Linked DNA regions of Bombyx mori. The protein of the gene in region 1 purifies or fractionates together with the protein of each later gene. This does not show direct contact. Links are inferred from orthologs where the notes say so. Each region holds a gene or a part of one and is shown on either strand. Other genes may lie near its edges. The genes, in order: exocyst complex component 2, exocyst complex component 3 and exocyst complex component 5.

Evidence for each region.
Region 2: the proteins of exocyst complex component 2 (region 1) and exocyst complex component 3 purify together in Homo sapiens (affinity purification with mass spectrometry; 6 studies listed by BioGRID and IntAct, counting the BioPlex papers as one, with this or other methods). This does not show direct contact. The link is inferred for Bombyx mori from reciprocal best matches to the Homo sapiens genes EXOC2 and EXOC3.
Region 3: the proteins of exocyst complex component 2 (region 1) and exocyst complex component 5 fractionate together in Homo sapiens (co-fractionation; 4 studies listed by BioGRID and IntAct, with this or other methods). This does not show direct contact. The link is inferred for Bombyx mori from reciprocal best matches to the Homo sapiens genes EXOC2 and EXOC5.

Annotation. Positions count from the first base shown.
Region 1 is NC_085121.1:12,803,217-12,806,875, reverse strand, and holds part of exocyst complex component 2, read right to left. Parts: intron 3,057-3,659; coding exon 2,889-3,056; intron 836-2,888; coding exon 683-835; intron 1-682. UniProt on the Homo sapiens protein: Component of the exocyst complex involved in the docking of exocytic vesicles with fusion sites on the plasma membrane.
Region 2 is NC_085118.1:10,563,321-10,567,079, forward strand, and holds the start of exocyst complex component 3, read right to left. Parts: upstream 2,791-3,759; 5' UTR 2,714-2,790; coding exon 2,621-2,713; intron 1,979-2,620; coding exon 1,830-1,978; intron 1-1,829. Other genes in the region: uncharacterized protein LOC101740964, read left to right, coding at 3,133-3,759. UniProt on the Homo sapiens protein: Component of the exocyst complex involved in the docking of exocytic vesicles with fusion sites on the plasma membrane.
Region 3 is NC_085131.1:6,365,904-6,369,562, forward strand, and holds part of exocyst complex component 5, read right to left. Parts: coding exon 3,582-3,659; intron 3,207-3,581; coding exon 3,118-3,206; intron 2,394-3,117; coding exon 2,204-2,393; intron 1,483-2,203; coding exon 1,326-1,482; intron 1-1,325. UniProt on the Homo sapiens protein: Component of the exocyst complex involved in the docking of exocytic vesicles with fusion sites on the plasma membrane.

The DNA.
Region 1 (3,659 bases):
AATTTTGGAAGGTTTTACTTCTACCACGTGTGAATTGTGTAATGTTTGGGTTCTTTTATAAATGACAAACGTTACGATCGGGCTTACATTTTTATTTGTTAATCACAATTATTCAGTTTTTACTAGCGTGTAACATGTACGTCGTAGACAATATGGCGGGGGAGTCATAGAGTATGTTTCGTAGAGTGGTCAGCAAAGATTAATGTTATGAGAATCGACATTAGGTCGCATATACGTTACAAATTGCACACATGTATTTTTTTTTCTTGTTAGTGTAAAGAGACACAGTGGAACTTACAGATCACCTAGTACGTAGCGGTTACTAAAGCACACAGACGCAACAGCGCGAATGCCGTCTCCATGCTTGGAGCAAAGGTATCGGTAGTTAAACAAACTACTACTACTTTACTGGTGGTAGGACCTCTTGTGAGTCCGCACGGGTAGGTACCGCCACCCCACCTATTTCTGCCGTGAAGCAGTACCGCGTTTCGGTTTGAAGGGTGCGACAGCCGTTGTAACTATACTGAGACCTTAGAACTTATATCTCAAGGCGAGTGGCGCATTTACGTTGTAGTTGTCTATAGGCTCCAGTAACCATTTAACACCGGGTGGGCTGTGAGCTCGTTCACCCATTTAAACAATAAAAAAAAATTTAAAAAATCCAAATTTCGTAACTCCTAACCAGTTTAGTGATGGCTCCATATTCGGTGAACTCTTCGATCTTCCAGGTTTCCTTGTCAGCGAGACCTTTAACCCTCTTGAGAGCTCGCTGAAGGAACACGACCATGCCGTGCACGCGGTAGTCGTATATCACGCGCTCCACTATGCTCAGTGGCTGTAATTAAATAAACCCCGGTTACAATTATTTAATCAAAACTGAACCGGACAATCATATCTTACCACACTATTTTAAGGACTGGACAAATGTTGGCCATATAACTCCGACCCTTGAGGATCTTTACTCTTTATTCCCAACCATGGCTCGCATCAGAACCGTTTGTCTGGACACACATTTTTTTATCCTTTACTAGCGACCCGCCCTCGCTTCGCTTCGGAAACTGTAATTTATTATTGATTTCTCCACTATTTAATGGATATTATTATACATAGAAACCTTCCTCTTCAATCGCTCTATCCAACTCCAAAAAACGTATCAAAATCCGTTGCGTAGTTTTAAAGATTTAAGCATACATAGGGATATAGGGACAGAGAAAGCGACTTTATTTTATACTATGTAGTGATTTAAATTTTTTTTAGAGAAAAAAAAAACCATATCATTTTGTTAGTAAGAATTACTTATAATCTATGTTAGTAACTTAAAAATCTAACACATAACTATCAGACATACATTATAAATATCATTACAATTTTTTCCTTCCAAACATGTACATTGCATTGATAAAGTACATGTTCTCGTATTTCCGTGATTTCCATACAGAAATCCCAAATCGTATTATCATCAGATTTCATTTTGTATAGTTTCCGCTACCACTTTTTTTTTTATTGCTTTGGCTGGTGGACGAGTTCACAGCCCACCTGTTGTTAAGGGGTTACCGGAGCCCATAGACATCTATAACGTAAATGCCGCCACCCACCTTAAGACATGAATTCTAAGGTCTGAGTATAGTTACAACGGCTGTATATAGGCAGGGCGGTGGTGCCTACCCGTGCGGACAAGCCTACCACCATTAAAGTGTTGATATTCAAAATGTAACACCGCTATTACGCACATATCTAATGTTCAGGCACCTTAGATAAGAGGGAATAGGGGCTAGCGGTAGAATAGGGACAAAAATCTGGGTTGTCAAAATGCTTTTGTGAGATTTGAATTTGTTGAATTTAAAAGGGCTTTTTTTAGTGTTTATGAATATTAAATAGTTTAATTTAGTCATCAGAGTGTTGTAACTGATTGATTAAAGATATTGAAAAGTTAATCACCTAAAGGTAAGTACCTACCTAACAACTAATCAGTGTCAGCCCTATCGAAAAACTCTATTGACCCCATACGTGATCCGATTCACTCCAAAAACCAAGGTGGATCAGGTCAAGCTCGTTTTTTAAGTTTTTGTTTATATTTTTCAATGAATTATGTATAATAATGCATCATATATGAAAATTTCAACCTCCGGACGGTTTTAATCTCAATTTTATTGGTATTACTCTAAGAAAAGCCAATGAAAATTTGTGTTGGAATTGGAAAGCGTCCCGATTCCGTCTAACCTACTGTACGTAAAGATTAAAGGACTTTCATTGGTACAACATTTATGACCCTAACCCACGCATCAGCCCGCTGAGTTTCTCGCCGGATCTTCTCAGCGGGTCGTGATTCCGATTCGGTAGTAGATTCATTCGCGAAGCAGCTACTCTTGAGTTGTTAGGTCTTCTTCGGAAGCGCTCGGGCAGCTGTTAGCAAGTCCCACCCCTCCTGGCTGAGCGTTTGCTCGCCCACATGTCCTGGTGAAACTGGAAAGGCCTACGTGTCACCAGTAACACTTCAATCATAAAAAAAACACATTTCGCTTTTTCGCATTAAAAGTGTACAATTTCCAAAAATATTCGAAATTGAGTTAATATGCGTAAACATTTGGTATCACCAGTATTTTTCCCATAAATACTCTCAAAAGAGGGTAGTTTAGTTTTAGTTTTTTTTTAGTTTACCTACGTTTTGACTACTATTAACAAAATTAATACATAATTTTATCTTACTTTAAGACAGATAATCTAACTGGTAAAAAATAAAAAGTAAATGTTGCAAAGATGATTAATATTAAAGATATTACATGTTAAACCTTTAAAACGCTCTCCTGTAGAATGAGTAAGTTTTGAGATTATACAGTTTTAATGCGAGAAGACGACTTGTGACTTGAGAAGCTCAAGCCTGTAGGTACCTGTGAGGGCAGATCCAATTTCAGCAGAGACTCGTACGCCTCCCTGAGGTGCCGCAGATTGGCAACGAGCCGGGCCCGCGCCGCGTCCGCGGAAGTGACGCCGCCGCCCGACAGCAGACAGGCGCGCATATGCTCCGAAAATAATTCGACACCAGCTATTATCATTTCCTGGAAAATGTTTAAAAAAAAATGAGTAATTTAAATGTGCAAATTGGGGTTTGAGACGATTGCAACATTAACATCAAATAACAGAAGCCAATGTTAATATTAGAAAAAATTAAGCTGATATATTTGTGCAAAGACAGACAGTTAAGTTGCCATTTTCTGCTGTGGTCAAAGGATTCTTTTTTATTGCCCTTGTAGGCAGATGAGCATATGGCCCACCTGATGGTGTGTGATTACCGTCACACATGAACTTCAGCAATGCTAGGGGCAGAACCAAGCCGCTGCCTACCGAATTAACAAGTAAGCATCAGTGAAATCAAATCTTTATATAATTAATCAAGTAATATCTATAAAAAGATAAAAAATTATAATAAGTATTAAATATATGACGACCGGCTATGTTAAGTATAAATAATAGTTTAAAAAATAGTGTAAGAAAAAATGGTGCTTCTCAGGATATTATCAAAATAACCCTTCTACTCATATCTGTTCATAAAATATTTATAGCTACTGATACCATGCACCCCACGCTTTTTTTTACAATAAAATCATTTTTTCTTACATTATTTTTAATTCAAATTTATTAAAATTTATTTTCTATTTTTT
Region 2 (3,759 bases), on another chromosome or scaffold:
CTTCTTAGTGGGTCGTGATTCCGATCGGGTAGTAGATTCATTCGCGAAGCAGCTGCTCTTGAGTTGTTAGTTCTTCTTCGGAGGCGCTTGGACGGCTGTTAGCAAATCCCACCCCTCTTGGCTGAGCCTCTGCTACCCCACATGTTCTGGTGAAACTGGAAAGGCCTCCGGGCCACCAGTAACCCTTCAATTCTAAAAAAATATAAAAAAGGCTGGTGTTAATGTGAATGCCACCACCTTGAGACCCGAAATCTAAATCTAAATTGTTCCATATAACGGCTGCTCCACGCTTCAAATCAAACCGCACGGCTGCTTCTCTTCGATGGTGGTACCAACCAGCTCGTACGGGCTTGCCCTACGCCATACCAACCATCCTATCAGTAAATACAAGTTGGCAATCGTAGTCCATTGGTATGATTCTCAGATAACGATGTTGCCCGTTCTCCAGTGTATCATTTAACGTCTTTTACAGGCGTGGAAAGAATGATATTATTGTAGGTCAGGCGTTTGCTTGCTAGGTTGTGCGAAGGTTGTTCGGAACTTCAATTGTTCCAACATATTGCTTCCTCGTCCTTGTTTGAAACATTGATTTCGTTGCATTTTGTCAGAAATCATTAACTTGTATAACAGGCGTGGTAATCAACGTATCTCACCGCAAACTGACCGAGCGAAGCAGTACTCTTTCGTCCCGCGCAAACCCACCCTCGCCCGGGTTCGTCCTATGCCCCATGTTCCCTAGAAACGCTCTTTTGTCGCATTTCACCAAACCCTATATAACTGACTAAACTACAATCGAGGAACCACATAGCCTGCAAGAAGTTACTATGTTCTTTTAATCGATGTTAACTTATTAAAATCATGCCATCAACAAAATGAAAAAATAATGTAAAAGAATAAATGATTTTATGGAAATCTTAATATTATGATTTATATTATATTAATATCGATAAAAATCATTAAGATTACTTATTGTGCATTTGTGATGAAATGATTCATTACGGAAACTAACTAAATGTAAATAATGAATTTTATCGAAATACAATTTTAAGCTATATTATACTACATTGTTTTGATAAAATTAATTAGATGCTGCAAATGAGTTCTGTAATGTAATGTATGCTGTTTTCAAATAATTATCCATTTAATAAAAATAACTAGTGCTGCTTAGTGAACCTTTGTAAATGCCTGACTTCCAAAGTTGCAATTATCAACTTTCTGCCAAAGACGTAACGGCCAAAGTTGGCCAGTTAGAAATTAGTGTGTTTTTGCATTTTGTAGAGTATGCAAAAATGAGCCCATTATAGATAAAAATGCATTTAGTGACTTTTTGCAGTTAATGAGTTCTTGCAATAAGCCGACGATATTATAAAGAAAATACAGCTAAAGACTAGTTGTACTCCTGCCCTCAACACATATTCAACAGTGAGAGAGAGAGAGAGAGAGAGAGAATATACTTTATTGCATACCAAAACACAATTTTCATTCAAAAACAGTCAACAAGCAAATACTTTTGTACAATAGGCGGTCTTATTGGTAAAAGAGATCTCTTCTTGACAACCGTCTAATTTCCAGAAATTTTGAAAAGAATGTGTGAATAATCACTGTAAAATCAATTTTCAGTAATTTTTTTTTTTTTGGTAGTGTAATTATTATTATTTTATACGTAGATGGGTGACCGAGCTTACCCTACCATACCTGGAGTACATCCCAATGTGACTGTTGTCACCCAACATGTCACACACCTATTTGTGAATCCTTCTATTTTCAGTTACTTTAATGAATATTAACAGCTATGAATAAAGTATAAAATATCTACAAATCATACATACTTTTTACTGATTTCTTGCACATCATCAAGACATTCCTGAAGTTGTTTTAACCCGACACTTACTCCATCTAACTTCCCCTGCACTGCAGATTTTAACTGTGCTTCTATGGAAGCCTTTTTGTGTGTGATTCTTTTCTTGTAATGCTCTACCTTAAGTAAAAATAATTTTAATACAAAAGATAACAATTTTGAGTACACATAAAATAGGAAGTAGAACATATAAATCTAATACATTTAAACACAAAATATAGGTCTTTCATCCACTTTTTAAAAGTGAACAATACTGAAGGATTTTGAGGTAAAAAAAAGTATGATAGACATATCAATGTGTAACACACTTTAAAAAAATATGTTTAGATTTATGCATATTTGCTAAGCTATATTACATTTCACATAGGTTTTTCAATGTATTTTTTAAACTGTTAACATTCAATGCTAACATTTTCTGTTCTGTAAAATTTTCTGTTTGAAAATCACTTCTAAATAAACATTTACATCACACATCATTTTAAATAAGACTATAGCAATGATCCACATTAACGCAAACTGGGAAGAGCACAGATGATTGCTTGCACATTTATAACATTAAATAACACTTTCAAAGCCCACAAACTATCAAGTGAGATGCACGTCCTATTTTATTAATTTAGGTATCTATTTTTATTTTACTTTCATATAAGATAAAGAATTAAAACAGAGTTGAAAGTGTTGCCGATAAGACAATCGCAGAATGAGTTAATTATAGTGGGAGGGTTAACATTTTTTTTGCACAGCAGATAGTTTATTGCTTACTTTCTCAAGCTGTCCAGGTCTTTGCATCATGTTCATGACCATTTTTTCTGCAGCTGCTTTAGCTTCTTCCTCTATTTCATCCATGGAACTCATGATGTAAACAAGATTTGCTGTTTACAGTGTTTACACAAATACAAATTTAGAAAATTTTATTAGTTTTATTTTTCCAACTGGAAAGGCAAAGGTGTTATACCATACAATCTAATCTTTTGTATATATATACATTTTATTTAATATATGAAAAGCTATAATATGAAATGAAATGAAGTTGATTAGAAACATGGTATGAAATGAGATAAGATAAGATGAGACGAGACGAGACGAGATATAATCTCGGTAAAATAGTAGTCATTTACTGAGACTTTTTCAGTGGATTTTTTGGAGGATCCCAAGTTACATCTAACGGCTTTGTTTTATTCTCCCACTGTTGTAACCTTCTTTTCTATATTCCATTATTTTGAAATATACTTCGAACACATTGTCATTTTTACCACCTATCATTATTATATTTTATGCTATGTCTTGAAAACATTGTTTTATTATATTGGCGACGAGTTAAAAAAAAAATTAAGATGAACGATGAACAATTCGCATTATTTTTACATGCACAACAAAATCAGCAAGAACAGATTTTACAAATCTTGAAGTTGTTGGTACCAGCAGCTTGCAATACAACAGCCAAGAGCGTGACGAACGACTCTTTTACAAAACATGATACGGATAACAAGATAAGTATAATCAAACATTTCAATATGGATAAATACAATCCAGATACATTCAGAATTGACGATTACATTGATTTTTTCGAAAACAAATGCAAAATTCTTGATATCGATAACAGCGACTTACAGAAAGATTTGCTTCTGAATTTACTAACACCAGAGATATTCCACGAATTAAAAGTAGCTTTAACGCCTGATTTCGATATAGCTACATACAGCGAAATTTGTAACAAATTATTAGACCTCTATCGCATAAAAACGACGAGGTATAGAGCCTTAACAGAATTTTGGAATTGCACTAGAGAACAAAATGAAACGATGGAACACTATGCAAACAGATTAAAAGGTCTTAGTCGGGATTGTGGCTACACTAATGACTTCCTGGAACGACAATTACGTGACCGCTTTGCCACTGGA
Region 3 (3,659 bases), on another chromosome or scaffold:
GGACGTTGACCGGTGGATGGTTCGATAAGCTCATGATCCACCTGATGTTAATTAGTTACGAGAGCCCATAGACATCTACAACGTAAATGCTGCCACATAGCTTAAGCCAAGAGTTCTAAGGTCTCAATATTAACAGTACAGCGGCTGCCCCGCCCTTCAAACCGAAACGCATTACTGCTTCACGGCAGTAATAGGCAGGGTGGTGGAACCTACTCGTGCGGACTCACAATACGTACCTACCTTGATATAATTTTTAATTAGATCTAAGTACGACGACTCCATTTTCAACTCAACGTGATTATTCGCTGAAAAGAAGCTGATAGCCTTGAGTACGAAAATTGGCAACACCGAGCTATACATATATACTTTTTAGAACATGTTGTTTTAACAGACAGTAAAGCCGCTTTCAGGCAACGCTATTATATAATAGCATATAGTATATAGCTCATAGCACAACAACATCGCACACCATACATTGTTATGGACACGTTCACACTGTACTCTACCATATATTATTGGCTAAGTATAGGCTGCTATATATACTATACTAGCCGCACTCGCCTGCTTCGCTGGGCATTTAAAATTAACATTATTATTTACTGTCATTATTATTAGGGAGTCCAACACTGATATAAATATTAGTCTATCCATTAAGTACATGTATTTTCTACATGGATACCGAGTTTCAGGTCAAGTAATGAATAAGATTTTAAATAAATATAAGTAAACTAGCTGACCCGGCAGACTTCGTAGTGCCTCAATCGATAAATAAAATACCTAAACTTTTGTATAAAATAAACTTAAAACAAACAAAAGGAATCCGTCCAACGGGAGACAAATCAAAGGGAAAACAAAATTGTTATTTTTATTTAAATCCGAGCATTTTCATATTTATCTAACTTTCGAACCTTCTCTGGACTACCACGAATAATTCAAGACCAAAATTAGCCAAATCGGTCAGGCCGTTCTCGAGTTTTAGCGAGACTAACGAACAGCAATTCATTTTTATATATAGAGAAGATAATAATAATATAACAATAAGTCATTTATTTCTTGCTTTTACAAAGTTTAAAATTAATAATAAATATAAATGTATATATTAATATTTAGGATGCAAAAGAGAGTTTTGTAATGAAACAGTTGTTGTAAACTTTAGTTAGAAAGAACCTCGGATTGGGTAAAGGCCTCCTCCAAGTATATTTATATATTAGTATAAATATAGATGACACTATAGTATAGCGTAGTCTGAAAGCAGCTTAAAACAAAAACAAGAAAACACCACAGTCAATCCATTCGCAGTCACAGTGGAATCACATGAACCATACCTGCCGAATTAAACTGGAAGTTATGCAGGTGTTCGTATATAACCCTGTGCAGTCTCACGGCCAGCTCCAACGAGATGGAATTTCTATTGTCGTCTTCCAAACCATCGTGTATTTTATCCATTACCGAATTCAAATAGGACACCACTGCTAGGCAAGCCTGCGGAAGATATTTAGATTTTTAATTGTTTTATATATGGTGTTGGAGAAGCGCATGAAAAAGTGATTATGGTTTTACAATGTTTTTGTTTTTTTTTTTGCTTTGATGGGTGGACGAGCTCACAGCTTCCTGGTGTTAAGTGGTTACTGGAGCCCATAGACATTTACAACGTAAATGCGCCACCCACCTTGAGATATAAGTTCTAAGGTCTCAAGTATAGTTACAACGGCTGCCCCACCCTTCAAACCGAAACGAATTACTGCTTCACGGCAGAAATAGGCGGGGTGGTGGTACCTAACCGCGCAAATTATACTTTTGCGGGTTTGATTTTTATTACACGATGTTATTCCTTCACCGTGGAAGTCAATCGTGAACATTTATTGAGTACGTATTTCATTAGAAAAATTGGTACCCGCCTGAGATTCGAGCACCGGTGCATCGCTCGACACGAATGCACCGGACGTTTTATCCTTTAGGCCACGACGTATTATTAGCATAATTCAAACTCCATCGTATAACTACAGCTAAATTAATAAATAATCAGTAAAAAGTGTTAAATAATCGCAAGATTATTTTAATTTAAATATAACTTGAATATTAGTCTCGTTTTTTTTATATATTTCGTCGCCCGTAAACTATAAGAATGTCACGAACCAATTTGCCGATCTATACATACATACGATACCGACGTTGTCCGAAGGGTTTTAATAAAAAATCTTACTGGTGACGCTATAGTATCGATGTCCCCTTCCGGTTTGAAGTCAGTCTTCTTTTGTTCGGTCTGCAGATGCAGCTTCACCCAGCTCACTATAGCCGATATAGCACGTTCCAAGCCAGCGTCAAGTTTGCTCTCGAGTTGGTCCATTATAGCGGTCTTCTTGTGTAAACATTCTGTTTGTTTCGACGATGAGCTGTAAATTGTAGTTTTTTTATAACCTATTTTTACATCCAAATTTTCAGTTCTGACACGGTGTAGTGTGAGCCCATATGCATACAACGACCACTTATATATCTCCCGCAAGGTAATTGTTCTCAAGAAAATTGTGATTGAATCATTAGTGTCGTGTTGTTATAATCAATTATGCTCTCTTATCGATAAAGAAGGGAAACTGAAATATTTGATGAAGACACCACACCCTCTGTATTGCACGCAATGTATAACACTTAAAAACAGTAAACACGCGAAGTCAACGACCTCGTTCGATGCATTGACTCTTCCGTTTAGACAGCGGGCTCACGAAACATGAACTTCCTGAATACTCGTCGTATTAGACAGCAGCTTGGTTCTGCCCCTGGCATTGTTGAAGTCCATGGACAACGGTAACCACTCACCTTCAGGTGGGCCGTATGCTCGTCTGCCTACAAGGGCAATAAAAAAAAATATGCTTTTATCAAATTTGACAAAAAAATATTTTTCAAATAAGATTTAAACGTGATTTTGAGCAAATAAATAAATGTGCGAAATTGATCAGTTGTTGATTAATTGTAATATGGGCGCTGGTTCAGCATCATACTTGCTGTATAACTATCAATGGTATGTGCTTGCCACTAATGATCAACACTCAAAGTAATATAGAACATAAGCATAATACAATTCATTTGATATATTACAATCAATCTTTACAAAACACTAACCTTATACAAGGTAAAATCGACTCCTGGAAATGTTCCTCGAACATTCTCACAATTACATTAGCTTGTTTTACAGTATCAAAGAAATATATCTGAAATTAAATTATTTATTAAAAATAAACAAACCAATTATTATTATTCATTGTTCTCTGCATTTATTTTGGAAAAGAGTATATCAACAATCAACAAGGCCTTCTACTCTGTAAAGCTGTTACTTTAATTCAATTGAAACATCACAGTCATGAGTCAAAGACAGCTGAGGTGTCTGTAAATACCTCAACTTAAACGTTGAGGTATTTACAGACACCAGTGATCACTAAATTCCAAGTCTATGGATCTAATATAATGAATATATAATAATGTTATAACTCAACCAAAACCATACTTTAAGTAATGACAATAAAGACTCAAACTATTATTTATTCATCATGAATACTTTGCTGCCAGAATGTAAAAAATCTACGAACCTGAGGTGGCGACTTGCCTTCCGCGATAGGTATAGACTGCAGACCCAAATCCAATGCATAATCAACGTGTTCTATCAG